4 linked regions of the Arabidopsis thaliana genome follow. The protein of the gene in region 3 interacts with the protein of the main gene of each other region in a biochemical or structural test. Each region holds a gene or a part of one and is shown on either strand. Other genes may lie near its edges. The genes, in order: MPK7, ATMPK8, MYB42 and MPK2.

Region 1 (4,616 bases), on a different chromosome or scaffold from region 3:
AATATTGTTAACATAATATAGTAAACAATATTAAAAAGGGTGAACATATTTTAATCATATTTCTCTTTTCTCTTCTCAACATAACTTAAACTTTTATTGTTCCTTAAAAGACCACGTCAGCATAATTCACTACACTTCTGTTTTCTTCACGCGCCTTAAACATGAATGAAAGAGTTGGGTGAAGGAGTGTGTGGTGAAAGAGTGTGTTGTCATTACACACACCTCATGTGTTACTCTCTGAATTCGGCAACTTATGGTGCTAGATATTTAATTTCTTTTCAGGAATTGGTTATTTAGCTAATTCACCTTTGAAATAAATACACTTATAAAATAAAGTATTTTTAAAACACACTAGTCTTCATATTGGAACTGAAAAAAATAGCACACTTCCTTAGATCATTATTTATAAGATTACTAATATATTCTGAAATTGTTTTGGTAGTACTAAAAAGAACGAAAAATATGAAGTGACACATTATCCAATCTTCCCTTATAATGAATTGAAAACATGTTTGGCGGCTTTTTAAAGGTAGGATAAAAACTAGAGAAAATAACATCTATACTTTTATTAGTTTATACTTTATAGTATGAGAGTATCTAAACTATAAAAAATTATTTCGTGTGGCTAGCAAGTGGGCAATGGCAAAGCTATACAAAATACAAGAGTTGGCCTGAAAATCAGTAGTAAAACTCATCAACTCAAAGATAATGTAACAAAAACAAGCCTTAACTTACTTAGTAACAAACAGTCACATTTACAAAGTGGTAAAGATACTGAGAGCCACTTTTCAAACTCTGTTACTACTACTCACTCACTGCAACTAAATCAAACCAGACGAGATCAAAGCACCGGGCTTTTTATCGATCTGTTCCCGCGTTTGTGGACTCGCTATATATAACATAACATCAAAGCTGCATTTTAGAAAGCAAAAAAAAAAAAAACTGGAAAAAGCTTACTCTTAATGATCATTGATGTTGATTTAGGCATTTGAGATTTCAGCTTCAGGGTGGTAATAAAGCATCTCATTCCACATCATCTCTCTTATCACTGGTTCCTCCATGTTTTCATCTATGTCCAGAGAGATTGGGACATGTGCAGGCGGATTGGATCCAGGATCAAACAACCCCGCCATATACGGGTGTAAGAGCGCATCGGTTACAGAGATTCTCTTGGTTGGATCAAACACAAGCATCCTCTGTAACAAATCTATAGCTAGAGGATTGGCTTGTGGATAAAGATTGGAGAGATGAGTTCCTCTTGAGTACGGAAGAGACTTTATAAACCTTCGAGCTTTCGGGTTGTCTATGAACCGAATATCAGATTCTTGTTGGCTACCAACAACGTTGATGATTAGCTTAAGCTGATTCAAGCATTCTGTTCCTGGAAAAATCGGTTTCCTACCAAGAATCTCCGCGAATATGCAACCAACCGACCATACATCAATGGAGGTTCCATAGTTATCACAACAAAGAAGAAGCTCAGGTGCTCTGTACCAACGTGTAACCACATACTCAGTCATGAACTGTTCATTACCTTGGCTCGTTCTCGCCAACCCGAAATCACAAATCTTGAGATCGCAGTTCGCATTAACTAAGAGGTTCCCGGGCTTCAAATCCCGGTGAAGTATGTTTGCAGAATGAAGATACTTCAACCCTCTAAGCAACTAAACACAACAACAAGAACAAGACTTATTTCAATAACTAAACATACAAAACTCGAAACATAGAGTTACCGAGGAAGGACTTAAAGTTACCTGAAACAAGAAGTACTTGCAGTGATCATCAGAAAGAGACTGAGAGGATTTAATAATCTGATGAAGATCAGTATCCATTAGCTCATAAACCAAATAAACATCCTTGAAACTGGATCTATTAGCAGGCAACATAACATCTTTAAGCGCGATCACATTCTCATGCCTCACATGCCTAAGAAGTTTAAGTTCCCTCAACGTTCTCAAAGCATCAACACGATTCTCAAACACATTGTGAATCTTTTTAATAGCAACTCTCTCATTAGTCTCACGATTGATAGAAGAACAAACCACACCATAAGCTCCTCTTCCAATGGGTTTAATCGGAACATACTTTGTATCGATTTCGAACAATGTTTGCCACATGGAGTAGTAATGTTTCCCTTGTTGCTTAATCCCATTTGGTGGCTCAACTAACATCGCCATTTTCTCTCTGCAAAAACCAAAACTTTCAGTATTTTTCCCCTAAATTGGTAAGATTTTGGAAAAGGGTTTATAGAGAATTTTCGATTTATGAATCATTGAAGCTTTTTTCTCCTTTACGTCTCCAAAAAGTGAAATTCAACTAAGAAAAATTCTCTTTTTAATATCGTTTCCTTTACTTAGCTATCAATCTTACTACTCCATAAGAAAAAAGCAAACTTTGGTTATAAAAATTCTCTTTTTAATATGATAACTCTTGATTAATCATAATCAAAACTCAAAAATTAAGAGTTAAAACAAGCTAAATGAATAAAGAGAAGAAACAGAACAAGAGATCGAACATACCCAATAACTGAATTTACAGAACCCGAGTCGTTGTTGTTGTTGTTAATGATCAGAGATGAAAGAAGAGAAGGGTATGATTGGATCTGAATTGAGATTGCTTCTTCATAGCTAAAACAAGAAGAGATAAGAGAGAGAAGAGTTAGGAAGTGGTGAGACCCATACGGGGAATGGAATGTTAGGGGAAGAGGAAGAAGAAGAAGAAGAAAGGAAGCAAAATACGTTGGTTGATGAAGAAGCTTTGGTTACTTCTTTTCGTTTTTTAGGAAAAAAACAAATTACAAAGTCTTCTAATTACGAAAACGACATTCTTTTTAGATTAGATATTTTTTGTGTAACAAAACTTCAGTTACAAACTATCTTTAATTAAAAAATCTCTAAAGTTTAATGGACTCTTCATGTTTTTTTTTTGCATACAAATCAGGATTGTTATTACTATATTTGGTAATTAGAAAAAAATAATGCATAGGAATTTTTGTAATTAATTAAAAAGATTGAGTAAGATATTTATTAAGTAGAATTTGTCTTGGTATAATATACGTACACGAATACAGAAATTGAGGATTTAAATGGATCAAGTAACCGGCTAAGCACGTGGGTGGACTGAAAAAGTGACACGTGGTAAACGTAGATTGGGAGCAACTTCTTGTTGTTGTCCGAACCGAAGTTTCCACTGGGTGTAGTTAAACCTAACTTAAAAGCCTCAAAAAGTGGTCAACTACAAAACCACTCTTGGTTTGAAGACCTTCTGTCTCTTTCGGAGAGGTTTGAGGATTAGATTAAAAAAAGGATAAGTGTGGCTGATGGATTTAACATCAGATGATGACATAACTAATTTGAGTGGCAAATGGTTGAGTAAACCTATCAGTTGACGAACGCAGATTATCAATCAACTTTGAGTTTCTCCATAGATCTTCGAAGATTCTGTCTCTCCAAACCATCAAGCCCCAATTCATCTTCAACCCTAGTAATTTAGTTTATATAAAGTGTACTTGAATTTTATACGTTGATGTTAAAAATGTTTGCACACTAATCTTTTGTACAAAACTACTTTACAAAATATATTTCTTATAAATTCATTGTTTTCTTTTGTACAAATCAAACATGATCTCGCATATGATGCGGATAAGTGGTAACATCTAAGGATGATATATATATACAGAGACATAACAAAATTCTTTCTTTGGAGATTCTCTTAATTTTAATGTGACTGTAAGATTTAAGTTAATGACATGAGTGCATTGGCCACCTCTAACTCCACTAGAGGCTTCTTCTTCCTCATGTTCCTCACTTACCAAGTGAACTGCACATGGAGATAAAAAGTAAAACAGAACACCATTTTAAACACCAAAACAAAAATTAGTTAAGTAGGCATTGATTTGAAAGCGGACCAGCTTCTTCTTCTTCTTCTTTCTCTCAACGTATGCCACAAGGTCCTCTTGTCGGGTAAGAGAATCATCAAGAGCCTGTGAAGATACAACAACTCTTTAGTGTGAGATAGTGAAAGCTGAGAACAAATCAGTAATATATATGAAAGTTTTTTTTGTTTTGTGTTACCTTCTTGGTTGCAGCAAGTTCTTGTTCCAAGAAATCGGCTCGGCTAATGGCAGCATTAAGCATCTCTTCCTTTTCAGGAGGCATAGTTGCTGGCTGTGCACTCAAGTTTGTGACTTTCTGCTCAAGCTCAGCCATTCGTTTCATGACCGCCATGAAATCTTCCCCTGAGATGGTTGTTGTTGCCATTTTCTTCCCATGCATCGAGCTCTTGTTCATCGAGTTTTCGTCGCAGTAAACCGGGCTAGAGTATATAGTTGACTCGGTTAGCTTCCTTGGAACGTTTTTAGTCACTCTAATCATGGTGACTACACCCATTACAAAAGCCATGACTCCAGTGAAAATAGGAGACCTTCCACTTTCATTTGTAGCTTTGCAAGCTTCTTGAATGGCGTAAACATCCCCTGTTCAAAAACAGAGAAGTACTTAAATTCAAGTTCTTTTAAAAAGGAGTAGTATTTGTCTCTTTAGTAGTGTAATTTGCACATGATCTCTTATACTTTTTGAGAGGGAAAATTTGTGAGCTTCTGGTATGTTCCAAGCTGG
Region 2 (5,998 bases), on a different chromosome or scaffold from region 3:
CACTGGCGATTAGAAAAGACTTGTAATATAACTTTTCTTCGGACATTTTAACTTCCAATTTTATTAGTCAAGAGTTTTGTGACAATCTTCCTTTACGATCCTATAGTTTACATGAAACCAACTTTTTCTTTAATTTATATTTGTAGTGGTCATAATTTGAAGTCAAATTCCAAAGTTTGGCGGCATGATCCATTAGTATAATGTTAGTTTTTTTTCACTTTTAAACATGCACAAATTCAATTAGTATTTCTACTAAATAATGTAAAAACAGTGTAGCCTAATTGCTTTAACCAATCTGGCGTCTGTGGACTTTGTTCGCCATATATACATCAACTTTTTGCAGTTTCTTTTTCTTATCGAGACTGTAGTTTGGAGTTGGTGAGTAAGCTCCCTGGAGCTCACTTTACTCGACCATACCATTATTTCTGACCTCTTTTTCAAAAACCCGATTTTGTTCATTTTTTTTCTTCTTCTTTTTGTCGTTTTATTTATTTTATTTTGTCGTTATGAGATTAGTCCAAGAATGGTATCAATTCAGATGGACCATGGAATATAAATAATAGATATTAGGTTAGTCTTCGTCATTAAAAAGCCAACTAACACAGCATTATTATTATGTGTGCTAATTTTTTAGTCTTATCTTTTTTACTTTTAAGAAGTCGAGTATGTTCTTCAGGTTAATATAATTTATTATATAAGACCCAATATCCCGGTTTGACCTGGACCGGATCATACCAATCACACAAACTCTCCCAAAGTACTGAAGCAAAGTGAATACTGAATAGTATATAAATAATTTCAAAATATGAGTGTTTAAAGAAAAGAGAGAAACAAAAAAATTACATGGAGATCGATGTTTTTATTTAAAGTTTCATCAAACCCCCAAAACTATTAAATACAACAAATCAAACCCAACCACGAAGATAGATGTGGATGAATGGAGAAACCAATTTCTTTTCACCAGAAAACTTTCGTGAAAAAAGAAAAGAAAAGAAAAAAAATAACTAAATCATTTTTAAGAATTGTGAAGAGAAGCAACTTTATCAGTAAGCTCTGCAACTGTTTCATTATCTTCTTCCTCAGCTATGGTATCCTGCAAACAAAGAGAAAAGAACAACAGTAAGCAAACTTCATCGTCATGTTCCTTTTCAAGATCTTCTGTTTTTCTTTCTTTCTTTCTTTACTAACTAACCTCTTTGTCAGTTTTAGATTGGACACCAATGCATTTAGAACCGCTGATGCTTGCACTCTTCATGAGGTTACGAGCACTGTAACCTCCTCCATTGTCTGCTTCCTCGGATTCCAAGGTTGAAGCCACAGCAGCTGCTGCTCTTCTCTCAACATCACTGCTTTCTTCTGCAGTTTCACCATTTGGAGCAGGAACTCTCTCTCTGCAACATCATCATAGAGAAGCACAATGCTCTCAGAGGGAGATTGAGAAGAGAAGAGAAGAGATAGAGAGATTCTGTGAAAGACATTACCTTGGCAAGGAAGCATGATGTCTGTGAAGTGCAGTACTTCTTCCTCCTCCTGCTGCTCCTGGTTTACCTTGATTTTCTTCAAGATGAGCAAATTGCCTTTTAAATCGGTCTACCCCACTGCGCGTAAACAACAAAAAGATTTATCGAGTTCATAACTTTCTGTTTTCAAGACTTATAGTTTCTGTTAACTGTTAATTAGCTAACCTTGGGTACATAAAGCTAAGCTGATCACCACCACGAAGGTATTCCTCCAACATCTGAGGATGATATTCCAATATCTGATATTTACAAAATCCAAAGAAAAGTGATTGTTAGGATCAATGAATAACATTGAAACAAATTCAGATTAAAGAAAAGGATATATGTAGAAGGCTTTTGTGTTTGTTTGTTACCTCTCGGTAAATTAATTCTCTGACATCATCTTTAACTAACTTCTTTCTCTCAAAGTCAAATTCAAGCTTTGAAATTGGCTGTGTTGTTGGTTCACGCTCTGAATTTGACAAACCACTGAAATATGGATCAGCTAGTGCCTGTAATATGAAAATCAAAAACGACGAATATAAGAGTTTCGTTCTGTATAAAACAAAAGGGAAAAGTAAAGCAAATTTACTTCTCACTTACATCTTCAGCTGATGCACGATCTTTCGGATCAAAGGCAAGCAGGCGTTCCAGAAGGCGGAGAGCCAAAGGATCAGCTTTAGGGAATTTATGAGAGAAAGGGACTGGTTGTTTTTTCCTCATGCTGCTAAGATATCTCCTCGCCTTTTCATTTCTAATCTGTAGAAGTCCAAGATTGCAAAGCTCATTACAAGGATTAAATTACTCTCAATGATGTATGGAACATTAAATTTGCTACAGAAAATATGAACAAGTGTTTTGAGTGACTAACCCTTGATATTGACTCAGGAGGTGGAGTACCAAGAAAGTCAGTCATTAGATCCAATTGGTGCACAACGTTTTTCCCGGGAAACAAAGGCTTACCCAAAAGCATTTCCGCAAAAATGCAACCGACACTCCAGATATCAATCGCAGGGGTATACTGAAATATAACAAGAGTAGACTTAGCTTGAGATGGCTGGTCTTCTCAACAACACTATAGAACCACACAACAATATTCTACAAAATAGAAAACTAGAAGCATTTTCCTGGTAGGGAGAAATAGCAAGAGTAGTTGGGTTTGGTGAAAAAGAATCTTACTTTGGAGAAAAACGATCCACAGAGTTCAGGGGCACGATACCACCGAGTAGCTACATAATCCTACAAAATCCATATAAACGAAATGAGCTCACAAGCATTTGAAAATAGTTAAGAGGAAGCCTAATGAACAGTTTTGCTTTCACATTGAGTTAGATGACTCACAGTCCAAAATATAGCGGTTGGGGCATCGTTAAAAGAAACGCGAGCCAGCCCAAAATCACAGATCTTCAATTTGCAATCAGCATTAGCTAGAATGTTCTTCGGTTTCAAATCCCGATGAAACACATTAGCTGAAAACAGAGAACCCTTAAGTGTTTCAATATTATCTATAACAAAAATCATGAGGATCGAAAGAGACCAATGTGTAAAACCAGAAACTAACCTGCGTGAACATATTTCAGACCACGAAGAAGCTGGTACAAGAAAAACTGATAATGCTCAGGAGTCAAATCATCATTCGCCTTGATCACTTGATGAAGATCAGATTCCATCAACTCAAAGACAACATAAATATCGCGGAATTCTCTGCGAGAAGGAGGTAACATGATGTGTTTAATCTCCACAACATCAGGATGACGAAGCAACCGAAGCAATTTGATCTCTCTGAGAATCCTAGTAGCATCGGAGACATGCTCAAACACATCGTTGATCTTCTTGATCGCAACTCTCTCTCCAGTGTGTGAGTCAACAGCAGAAGCCACAACACCATAACTTCCTTTGCCAACAACCTCTTGAATCTGATACCTGTTAGCTTCTCCATACTCCGTGAAGAATTCAGTTTCACCCTGAAGAATTTTATTCATGATTCATACTTAAAATTGACCAAAATGATGGATCAAGACAATAAGATCAATCAAACGAAACACAAAACTGAAACTTTATCCTTTTGTGGAAGCAAATGCAATAACACAGAACATTAAGAGAACAAAACAAGTCTCTTCAATCTCAATCAAAAGACAACATCTAAGAGCAAATAGCATAAAAGGGTAGAGAAGGAGAAGAAGAAAGGTACCTTCTTGTGAGGATCCATAGGTAAATGATTACGTTTAGGAACGTTAATAAGCGTTAGACCAGAGAAATCGAGATCTTCTTCAATAATAAGCTCTCCAGAGTTAGCGGAATGATTGGGGTTAGAGGAAGAAGAGAAAGAAGAAGAATTGAAAATGGGTTGTTCGTGATTATTATTATTATTGTTGGAAGAAGAAGAAGAAGAAGAAGAAGAAGGTCGCTGAAAAAGCCATCGACGAACACCGTCGACGAGATTCCCACCACCACCCATAGACCACTACTAGATTAGAAAAGAAAAAGATTAGTAATTTACAAAATTGGGTATCCGAAATTCCTTGAGAGCCAAACAATTACCGTCAAGTCACCGTCTTTCTCGCCGCGTCTCTCGGTTTTGTCCTTCGGAGTTGGAGACCATGTTCTTCTCCTATTTTTTCATTTTTTTTTTAATTTTCTTTTTATGTTTTTTTCATTATTTATGCTCAGATATTTATTTTTTTCCCCTGCTTGATTATTAGAGAGAGTGAGTGGAGGGAGAAGAACAAAATATTTAAACCTTTGGAATATTTCGACGACCCGGTTTGTCTATACCGGTTAATGATAACCTGATTCGGGCATATGCATTTATTGAGTATATGGGCCTACAAAGCGGCCCATACAATAAATGTATTTTCGTTCAATCACTAAACGGATTAAACTCAACCGGACAAGGTTCGAAATTAAGAAGATGTTAGATGTTACATTACAAACCGGAATTAAAAGTCTAATTATGAATCTGAGACACAAAAAAAGAGAGAGTAAAAACGCCTTGCTCGTTCGGTCGCGTTGATGATATGAACATATATTTCATCATGAGCTGAGCAGGTCCAGGAGTCTGTTGCGGTTCGAGCACATCATAGTTATTGGGTCATAAATGAATCCGACAGTAGCGTAATCTAAGCATTTTTTAGTGAATAATACGCTTGATGATATATGTGATATGTCATGGGAGGATAATGCATAAGGTGGTGAGCGAAGCATTTTTTCAGCCAAAAAGACAAAATTTTATTTGAATAAATGATATCAAACAAATCCAGATACGCGAAGGAATATTGAATATGGAAAGCACGATCGTAAACAATTCTGCGATTTATCATTTCTTATTTTTTTTAACAAAATGTACGGTTTTGCATGATATATTTGCATTAAAAATGAATTGGTAAGTTTTTAAATAGCTCTATATTTGCATTAAGCTTTGACTGATTGTACAAAAAATAGAGTAATTTTTTAATTACAGTAGCAAAAAAAAGCAAAACAAAATTCAATTCTCTCCAGCTCAAAAATCCACTCTTCATCCTCTACTATACTCGTATCTATCTATCTACTCTACTCTGTTTTACGTAAGTTTTTTTTAGTTGATTTTCTTTTGTCGGACTTTAAGAGAGAGAAAGTGGCGTCTTTGTGGACTTTCTCAATTCAGGAGAGAGTCAAAGAGAAGGAAGAGGCTTCGCTTACTTGCTGAGAAAAAAGCTCCAAACTTTCTCTTATTGGGTTTTTGATCAGCTCCGGAGATAAAAAAAAAAAGTATTTTCTTGAAATCGAAATCTGATCTCCATTGAGAGTCTTGCTACTTGATTTGGATTCCGATTTAAGGTTTTCTCGAGAATTCTTTTGCTGCAGTTATTAGATTTTGACGAGCCGTTGATCTGGACGGAGTTCCAGATCTCCGGGTCGTGGTACCAAGGAATTAGGGTTTTAGCACAAAGTTCTCGTTTTTCTGTGTATTCGAGGGATGAAGGAGTTTTCGGGTCGATGTTCGCTGCTCTAACATTTGGAGTATGAAGATGAACATGAAGAAATTTCTCAAAAAGCTTCGTATCACGCCCAATCAACGAGACGATGGTGAAGGTTCAGTCTCTAACAGAAGCAATAAGTCTAGTGATGCAGAACCATCTCCTTCTGATTCATTGAGGTCTCAAGATAACTCTGAATTCAAACCCTTTTTGGGTTTATCAAATTGGTTAAGCTCTGTTACTCACAGGAAAAGCCCTTCTTCTTCCAATGCCACCAATAGCAAAGAGGATGACACTACCATGGAACATGGTGGTCCCGTTGGGTCGGAATCTGGGATGCAGGGTTTGGGTTCTAGTAGTAATTCCAAGGATCCAGAAGTTGAAGAAGAATATCAGATACAGTTGGCTCTAGAGTTAAGTGCTAGGGAGGATCCTGAAGCTGCTCAGATTGAGGCTATGAAGCAGTTCAGCTTAGGTTCTCGTCCTTCTGCTCCCGAGAATACTCCAGCTGAACTCATGGCATATAGATATTGGGTGAGTTTT
Region 3 (4,576 bases):
CTAATGTTATAGAATAATCAGGTCGTCTCCATTTCTTACTACCATATAAACTAATTAAAGCACGACCCAACCGATAAATTTTCCAAATAAATATAATTTTATTCTAAGAAAGAATCGAATTTAGATATGGGAGTTTCACCCTTCGCCAGAGTTTTCTCTAAACAAAACGTTGTACTTCTTCTAACACAGACTAATCACGCATGTTTTTACAATATTATAAAAAAATGAATTAATTTGGGAAAAGCCCTCTACAGCTAAACTTACAAGTCAGTCACCCATGAAGTGGGAAAGTTTTACAACATAAATTAGATTTAGTTCTGTATACGTACGTGTCAAATAGGTGTTCGTCTTTATAATTTTTCCGTATAGACAACATGCAAAGATATATTACTATAACTCTATAAGATAGCTTATTTGTTAATTAGCCACACGTGTATAAACGTACGACTACGAACAAAAATGTTTACTTACTTTTTGCGGTATTGTCCACGGCAATGCCTAAACTAAGACAACTTCATAACCTTTGACGATGTTAGATTTCGAACACTAATTGTATATTGTTTTTATCGAAAAATCTTTACTATAATAAGTTTTTGTATCAGTAGCAACTAGCAAGTGTCTTTTGTATGTTATTGTGTGTTCAGCTAATTTTAGGATCAACTGTTTTAATAATAAAATATTCCTTTCCAAAGCATTAGGATTTACAAAATTTACCATTCAATCAATGGTTTACACTAAGTCTGAATCACATGCTAAATATATATGCATACCTTCCTATATTTGTTTCATCAAAACATATTCTAATTGAATTTAAACTTTCATTTTGGTGTTAAAGTTCTACTGGTCGTACGCGTGTACATTCGCAGGTATGTACCCTATCATTTCACATTAGTTCAAAAGTCATTTTCAGTTTTCACCAACCAATTAATCAAGGTTTTCCAACACTCCTCAGTTTTCGTAAAATGATATTAATTAAACAACTATAATTAAAATCCATAACAATGATTTATTTTAGACAAAAACATTAACTTTTTTTCTTCACCAAAATGATTTGATCATAAGAAATCGTATATATATCGAGAAAGAAACATTTCTATCGACATTAACAATTCTGTGAAGTATATATATATACGATTTCTAGTTTATCCTCCAAAATGTTTTAATCATCTCACCATCACAAGTTAGTTTATGCACGCATGTGATGTATAAATATTTTATACGTGAAAATGAACCATGCATATATATTATTGTTAGGTATACTGTATACATAGAATATTGATCATCATAAGAAAGGTACAAATTTAATTTCTTGGAAATTGTTGAAATTTCCCCATCACACATACCATATTAATTACCATGTATTTATTTTTTAAAACTATACGTATTCTGGATAATTACTTTTATATATGTATTCAGGTTGTTAATTCAAGTAAATCAAATAACATGTGATGCGTATACCTTAGACGTCGTATATTTCTGTATAGTTACTTTATACCAAAAGCCTATATAATTTATGAACCTAAAGCCTAAAGAATGTTTGCAATAATCTGGCTAATACTCACCATACTTAAATATTTAGATCGTATTTCGTTCTTCTGTACTCTATACACATTTTGTTGGAAGGAAGAATTTTTATTATTACTAAGATCGAACCAAATATTTATATTTTAGCATCTGATATATAATATAATCATGAAAATATTTGATCTAATCATATTATAAAATATTCAATTAACTGCAATCTATGCAATTATAATGATTACTTCCCACGAACAATAATGATTGAATTAAAGAAGATGATTTTAACAATAAATTCCTAACAAAACATATAGCGTCATTAACTATTTGGTTTCACTACTCACCTAAGTGGGTCAAATGAGATACTAATTTTCTAACTAAAATAAAAAATATGTGGTGAATGATGTAAGAAATACTTGGGTTATATATAGGTGGGTGAGCTTAGGTGCTTATAGGCTTTTGACAGAAATCTTCTAATTGGTATATACTTTCTACTTTCAAAATATTTAAGGTCTCATCTCTCTCTCTCAAATTAACACACAAAACATATATAAACAGTCAAATATAAATTAATGGGAAGGCAGCCATGTTGTGACAAGCTCATGGTGAAGAAGGGGCCGTGGACGGCGGAGGAAGACAAGAAACTGATAAACTTTATCTTGACCAACGGCCACTGTTGCTGGAGGGCTTTGCCGAAGCTGGCCGGTCTCCGTCGCTGTGGGAAGAGCTGCCGTCTACGGTGGACCAATTATCTCCGACCTGACTTGAAGAGAGGTCTTCTCTCCGACGCCGAGGAACAGCTTGTCATCGACCTTCATGCTCTTCTCGGCAACAGGTTTGAGCTTGTTTTAACCTTGTATTTCGTTTATATGTAATTGATCATTTGTTATATATTTTTACTACACATTATTAAACATGCATTAACTAAGCCGAATTTGTTAGTAATCTTTTTTTTAACAACAACATGAATTACGGATATAAATCCAAATATCGACAGCACGAGGATATTATCATAAACAACAAGGCTATATTCCAAAAAACAATTTTCGGTAGGAATGTTAAGTACTATATGCCAAATTTCACCAATATATTGTATCATATGCATGTTGTTAGCTAATTATGTATTTACCAAAAATGGTTAATCTTCTACATATAATCATATGATTGTCATCATTATAGTCATATAACCCGAGGTTAAATAACGTTCACCTATACTTATATACAAATAATAATAAAAATTAGTCAATTCTAAGATGTTACTTTTTGTGAAACACAGTAAAAAAACTATTAACATATATGTTGACTAATGATAAATGCTGTAGAAAATGTATTTGTGATGTACAATTGAAAATTAATCCATAATATTTTAATATAAGATAATGTATGGATCATTTGAGACTGAATAGTTTTATAAGAAAACGATATATCTTAATTCAGTTTCCTTTCTTTGAATTAAAGTCTTCTAAATATTTGTATAAAAAAGTTGTACATCTTATTTCAACTTCGAGACAAAGTAACGTTCCTCGTTTCCAAATAGAATATCATAGCGTATATATATTGTCAACTTTCTTGTGTTAGATTCCAAGACACAAGACTTTGACATCTCCACCAACACCTAGCTCAAATCATTATTTTTCAAAGGTAAACATATTCAATGTAACTAAACATATTTCTTAAAATTCTTTTTATGTATATATAGATGGTCCAAGATCGCTGCAAGATTACCAGGAAGAACAGACAACGAAATAAAAAATCATTGGAATACTCATATCAAGAAGAAGCTCCTTAAGATGGAAATCGATCCTTCGACCCATCAACCTTTAAACAAAGTATTTACCGATACAAACTTAGTCGATAAATCTGAAACTTCATCGAAAGCCGACAATGTAAATGATAATAAAATCGTAGAGATCGATGGGACAACGACAAATACAATAGATGATAGCATTATCACTCATCAAAATAGTTCAAATGATGATTATGAATTACTTGGTGATATAATTCATAATTATGGAGATTTATTTAATATTCTATGGACCAACGATGAACCTCCTCTAGTCGATGATGCATCATGGAGCAATCATAACGTTGGTATTGGAGGAACAGCTGCAGTTGCAGCCTCAGACAAGAACAACACTGCTGCCGAGGAAGATTTCCCGGAAAGATCATTTGAAAAACAGAACGGCGAAAGTTGGATGTTCTTGGATTATTGCCAAGAATTTGGTGTTGAAGATTTTGGGTTCGAGTGTTACCATGGTTTTGGTCAAAGCTCCATGAAGACGGGTCACAAGGACTAGCATTTGCAAGAATACATAACATATATACCGATATACTACATAATATGTGTATATAATTTATACGTACGCATCATAAAAGTAATGTAAGAAAAATCATGTAAAGCAGTAAAGAAGCACCATGGTTTTTTCAAAGTCTAATATTAGGGGAACAGAAAAAGGATCACTAGGAGTTATAGTAAGAGTTATTGACTTATTTCCCTATCTTTTATGTCTGTTTCCTGCATTTATTTCAAATTATAATTAGTTCAACCCAACAGTTTTTTCGCCTTGATTTTAAATTCTGTTTTGTATAAATTTAATAATTTATGCTAGGATATCCTTCATTAAATTGATTAAAAATATTGGTAGTCAAATTTTTCTATGTTGATCAGGATTGATTTTTAGAGTAAGTCCATGATTTATTAAATCAACCGGAAAATACAGAGCTTTTTTTTAATTTGTAAAATCGTTGTAAAAAATAATTTTGTTGAATTTGGTGTTCCCCAATAAATTAAAGATGAATTTGGTGTTCCCCAAAATATATAACTATTTGATGATAATTAATTTCAGCGACTTTGATAAAATTTATCTGTGAATTTGAATGATCTCATGATAAAAGTTTACCAAAATTCTAAATTTACAAAACCATCTGGACAACTAAGCTTCTTGTTTATATCTGTTTTATCATTGGCCAGATAATAACACACAAATATGAATTGAGAAAGTAATAAATATATTGCCAGTTTTTTTTTTTTGAAGCTATCATTTTACGTGGATACAAA
Region 4 (4,378 bases), on a different chromosome or scaffold from region 3:
GATGATGATGAGGAACATTCATTGACTATTAATCGACGAGAAGACTTGACTTGGTCTTCTAGAATCTTTATCTCTTTGGCTCTTGATTTTTTTTTCACATCAATGGTTTCAATAATTAGTGCAGTCCTACATTTTTCCATTTACAAAAGTAAAAAAAGATTCTTATTCACACGCTGTTCATCAAAATATTTTTCCAAAGCATAAATGTTACTAATTATTGACATTTTTTCTATCATTTAAGTTAAATTTAAGTGTGTGATAGACATCAAAATATTTTTATCAAACAAAGCAATTAATACTTCTATTAATGTCACAATATACTAAGTCTGAATTCAGAATTAGGTACATGAAAGTCAAAAACACATTTATAAAAATTCTACGAATCTATGGAACATTCTATGTATCATTGAAAATTATTTCCCAAATAATTTTATTTTGATATTCTATGCATATGTTTTATTTCATGAATTTTTTTAAACAGTGTATATCTTTGTGTTAATACATTTATCTTCAAAATCATATTTAATCCAATGGTTTGCTCTTTGAACATTCGAAAATCTTCAATAAGAAAAATCACCAACAATAAGATCAGAGACAGAGTATGAAGTTTTAAGGACACATACACTTATGTACAAACGTTACAGACACTTAAGCTTGTAACCAAAAACAAAACAAAGCTCCATGACACAAACATATCACATAATTTAAAGTTATTGTTCTTCTTCTTCGACACTATTATTAACAACATTTCAAGAAGCAAACATGAAAATAAATAAGTTTAAGTTGTTGAAAGATCTCTCTGAACAGTACCTGCAAAAGACTTGATCTCAAAACTCAGAGACCTCATTGTTGTTTATGGTAGCAGCTTCTGGATGATAATGAATCATTTCCTTCCACATTAATTCTCTTATCATCTCTGCTCCCAAATCCTCGTCTTCATCTACATCGAGATCAATAGGAACTTGAGCAGGAGGATTTGCACTCGGGTCATATAAAGGCGCCATGTAAGGATGTTGAAGCGCTTCCGTGACACTAATCCTTTTCGAAGGGTCAAGAACGAGCATTTTCTGAAGCAGATCAATGGCTAAAACATTTGCACCCGGGTAAAGACGAGAGAATGATATCCCTGGTGAGTAAGGGAGTGATTCTATGTATCTTTTGGCTTTTGGGTTATCTATAAACTCGAGATCTTCCTCTCTCTGGCTACCCAAAATGTTAATGATGAGTTTAATCTGGTTTAGACATTCTGTTCCCGGGAATACTGGTTTTCTTCCAAGAAGCTCGGCGAATATGCAACCGACTGACCAGACATCAATGGAGGTTCCATAGTTGTCACAACAGAGGAGTAGCTCTGGTGCTCGGTACCATCTAGTCACAACATATTCAGTCATGAACTGACCTTTGGTGTTGCTCGTCCTCGCTAGCCCAAAGTCACATATCTTTAAGTCGCAGTTTGCATTCACAAGGAGGTTACCGGGTTTCAGATCCCGATGGAGAATGTTTGCTGAATGAATATACTTGAGCCCTCGAAGCAACTATGCAAAAGAAATAAAAAGCAAGTAAATGCAAACACCAAATGCAAACAACACACACTAATGGTAAAAGCAAATGCAAACAAATCACATACCTGGAACAAGAAGTATTGGCAATGGTCATTACTTAGAACTTGAGAAGACTTAATAATCTGATGAAGATCAGTATCCATAAGCTCATAAACAAGATAAACATCCTTAAAGCTTCTCTTATGATTAGCCATCATTACATCTTTAAGAGCAACCACATTCTCATGTCGAAGATGACGTAGAAGCTTGAGCTCCCTAAGAGTCCTCAACGCATCAATCCTATTCTCAAACACATTGTGGATCTTCTTGATCGCCACTCTCTCATTACTCTCTCTGTTAACCGAAGAGCAAACCACACCGTACGCGCCTCGGCCTATCGGTTTGATAGGCACGTATTTGGTATCGATCTCGAAAAGTGTTTGCCACATTGAGAAGTAATGCTTCCCTTGATTCCTAATTCCATTAGGTGGATCAACAGGAGTCGCCATTCTTCTACCTCCTTATAAAAACACACAACAAAAGGAATAAAAATCAAAACTTTATCGAAATTGGAACAATCCACAAATTTGAAAATATACACAACACAGAATTTTGAATTGCTTCCAACAAGTGACAATGAAAGATCAAATTTTTAGTTTTGATCTTAGGGTTCTCTAAGCTTAAGTTTACAGATTCAAAGGTTAATATTTTAGATTTCACTAATGATCAAAAGCTTTGTTTAAGAGAAAAGAACAAAAGTTGAATCTTGATCCGATGTTGAGATTGAGCTAGAACGATCTGAATTTTGCAGAGAGAGCTTACCCGTTGAGTGTTGGGGACGAATCAGATTCGTCAGTGACGATCGCCGGCGAGATTTGGGTGGAGAGAAAGAGGAAGTTGGAGAGATTTGGCTGGTGAGAGTGAGAGATTTGGTCAACGCTATGACCGTTGACTCTCTAGTTTCTCGTTCATTACCATTTTAGAGCTGTTTCTTTCTCTGTCTCCTTCACTAATCTGTCTTTAACTTTGGGCTTAATTAAGCCCAACCTGATTTGTAATAATTAACGGTAATTAGATATTTAAGATAGTGAGGAATTAACAAAAAGTGGACGTGCCGGAGTGGTTATCGGGCATGACTAGAAATCATGTGGGCTTTGCCCGCGCAGGTTCGAATCCTGCCGTTCACGTTTTTTCACTTCTTATTTTAACATCGAAACGTGATTATATAACTTCATTAGTAAATGTAAATCTAAGCTTGAAATTTATATTAGCATTTGTTCAATCACAATCTATCAATGCAAAAAAATTTCTAGTCAAAAACTCATGATACAAAGGCTTTACTATATGTACAAGACTAGTAATTGTTCGCTTGTAAAAATCGTTCTGAGTTTTGTCCTTCAATGGCGGTAAATTTTCAAAACTTGTTGTATTCGTTCCCGGCAAAGAGGACAGGTCCTTAGTTGCAAGGAGCATGGTGTGCAGCAGCACATATGACCACACCTACAAGTCCAAACCAAACAAAAAGAGGAATCAAAAGATGCCATGTTTGATCAGTGAGAGGGTTTTCAAGAGCTTTTAGAAGAAAAGCGGTCTTATACTTACTCAACAAAAGCGGTGTTATACTTCTGGTCAAGGCAAACCACACAGAGATCAGGTGTATCACCATCTCTGCTTGTACCACCTGGTAAGACGTTTTTGTAAGCAGAGCAATTCCAAGTGTATGCAGAAAAAGGATTCACATGTTACTACTACAAAGTACAAACTCTAATGGATAGATACTATTACTACCTCCAGTTACTGGTTTGGCTCTCCTAGCAGCTGCATCAACAACTCTGCAACAAGTTACCCAACACTTAACTCGCAACTCGCAACTCGCAATGAATACTTCATACGTGGCTGTGGTTAGGGTGCGTCATACCTTTTCAGTGCGAATTGTCGCCGCCTTCTTTCTAGAGTATCTTCAATTCTCTTTAGAATATATTCAATCACAGGCTTTGAAATAAGAATCACACCAAGAACAGTTAAACCCATGGAGGCATACTTGAACCTCCTGCCAAAAGAAAGAGATCTTTTAGAATTTTTTTCAATCATAGTTTTCGAAGAAAAGAATAGGCAAAAACAGAGAAAAGAAACAACCTTGACAAATCTCCCAATTTAGAGATGAGCTGATCTAGCGGTATATAAGTGACGTAGAAAGGTCCTTGCTCAGGTTTTTGAATCCTGACATTCCCCATGCCATCCCTAACAGCCTGTTAACATGGTAAGCAACATAACAAAGAGAGATATAAAACGTATTTTGGACCGCTAACAGATAAAAGACATACCTCACCAACAACTGTAAGCGGTGTACCAATTGGGACAACACGCTCAACGTGTCTTACTCCAAGTATCTATAGACAACAATGGTGCCACAATGTATAAGCATTGTCAAAACAAAAGCAAATCAATGAAAAGTGGTAGGAAAGGAAAAGAAAAGACCTTAAAGCCTTTAAGATAACCCAACGCTCCTTGAACAAGCGATACCGGCTCTGCCTTTTCAAATACATCACTACCAACCGTCAACGCCAAGCCTAATTCACCTTGAGATACATCTACATTCACACGACCTGTCCCGTCGTCCTATAGGCAACCAATATCATATTTTGTAAATGACTTTAGAAAGTAATACACTCCAATCAAAGTCCAACAGACATACCAGATACCAGGGGACTTCCTTAGTCATCGGCTGCATCAATGTACTATTTCGAACCCATGAAAATCTCCAATTACGTCTCAAAACCTGTTGTTCTGCCTGAAAAAAATCGTTTCTTTTTAACATATCCAAAATCACAGAAACG

Evidence for each region.
Region 1: of the proteins of MYB42 (region 3) and MPK7, one has a biochemical effect on the other in vitro, tested with the Arabidopsis thaliana proteins (one large-scale study listed by BioGRID).
Region 2: of the proteins of MYB42 (region 3) and ATMPK8, one has a biochemical effect on the other in vitro, tested with the Arabidopsis thaliana proteins (one large-scale study listed by BioGRID).
Region 4: of the proteins of MYB42 (region 3) and MPK2, one has a biochemical effect on the other in vitro, tested with the Arabidopsis thaliana proteins (one large-scale study listed by BioGRID).

What each region holds. Positions count from the first base shown.
Region 1 is NC_003071.7:7,907,198-7,911,813, forward strand, and holds MPK7 (MAP kinase 7), read right to left. Parts: upstream 2,844-4,616; 5' UTR 2,520-2,843; intron 2,185-2,519; 5' UTR 2,178-2,184; coding exon 1,755-2,177; intron 1,665-1,754; coding exon 981-1,664; 3' UTR 577-980; downstream 1-576. Other genes in the region: AT2G18180 (Sec14p-like phosphatidylinositol transfer family protein), read right to left, coding at 3,857-3,982, 4,074-4,474, 4,571-4,616. UniProt on the Arabidopsis thaliana protein: MKK3-MPK7 module acts as a positive regulator of PR1 gene expression.
Region 2 is NC_003070.9:6,243,626-6,249,623, forward strand, and holds ATMPK8 (Protein kinase superfamily protein), read right to left. Parts: upstream 4,188-5,998; 5' UTR 4,041-4,187; exon of another isoform or gene 3,967-4,040; 5' UTR 3,958-3,966; coding exon 3,691-3,957; intron 3,464-3,690; coding exon 3,061-3,463; intron 2,969-3,060; coding exon 2,841-2,968; intron 2,739-2,840; coding exon 2,679-2,738; intron 2,521-2,678; coding exon 2,371-2,520; intron 2,259-2,370; coding exon 2,103-2,258; intron 2,012-2,102; coding exon 1,874-2,011; intron 1,760-1,873; coding exon 1,686-1,759; intron 1,599-1,685; coding exon 1,482-1,598; intron 1,392-1,481; coding exon 1,193-1,391; intron 1,094-1,192; coding exon 1,016-1,093; 3' UTR 673-1,015; downstream 1-672. Other genes in the region: AT1G18160 (Protein kinase superfamily protein), read left to right, coding at 5,501-5,989. UniProt on the Arabidopsis thaliana protein: MKK3-MPK8 and CAMs-MPK8 modules negatively regulates ROS accumulation through controlling expression of the RBOHD gene during wounding.
Region 3 is NC_003075.7:7,322,822-7,327,397, forward strand, and holds MYB42 (myb domain protein 42), read left to right. Parts: upstream 1-1,934; 5' UTR 1,935-2,090; coding exon 2,091-2,353; intron 2,354-3,217; coding exon 3,218-3,815; 3' UTR 3,816-4,046; downstream 4,047-4,576.
Region 4 is NC_003070.9:21,882,193-21,886,570, reverse strand, and holds MPK2 (mitogen-activated protein kinase homolog 2), read right to left. Parts: upstream 2,554-4,378; 5' UTR 2,364-2,553; intron 2,062-2,363; 5' UTR 2,051-2,061; coding exon 1,628-2,050; intron 1,536-1,627; coding exon 828-1,535; 3' UTR 520-827; downstream 1-519. Other genes in the region: ZCF61 (E3 Ubiquitin ligase family protein), read right to left, coding at 2,939-3,041, 3,144-3,222, 3,330-3,373, 3,460-3,591, 3,678-3,790, 3,866-3,931, 4,020-4,160, 4,237-4,332.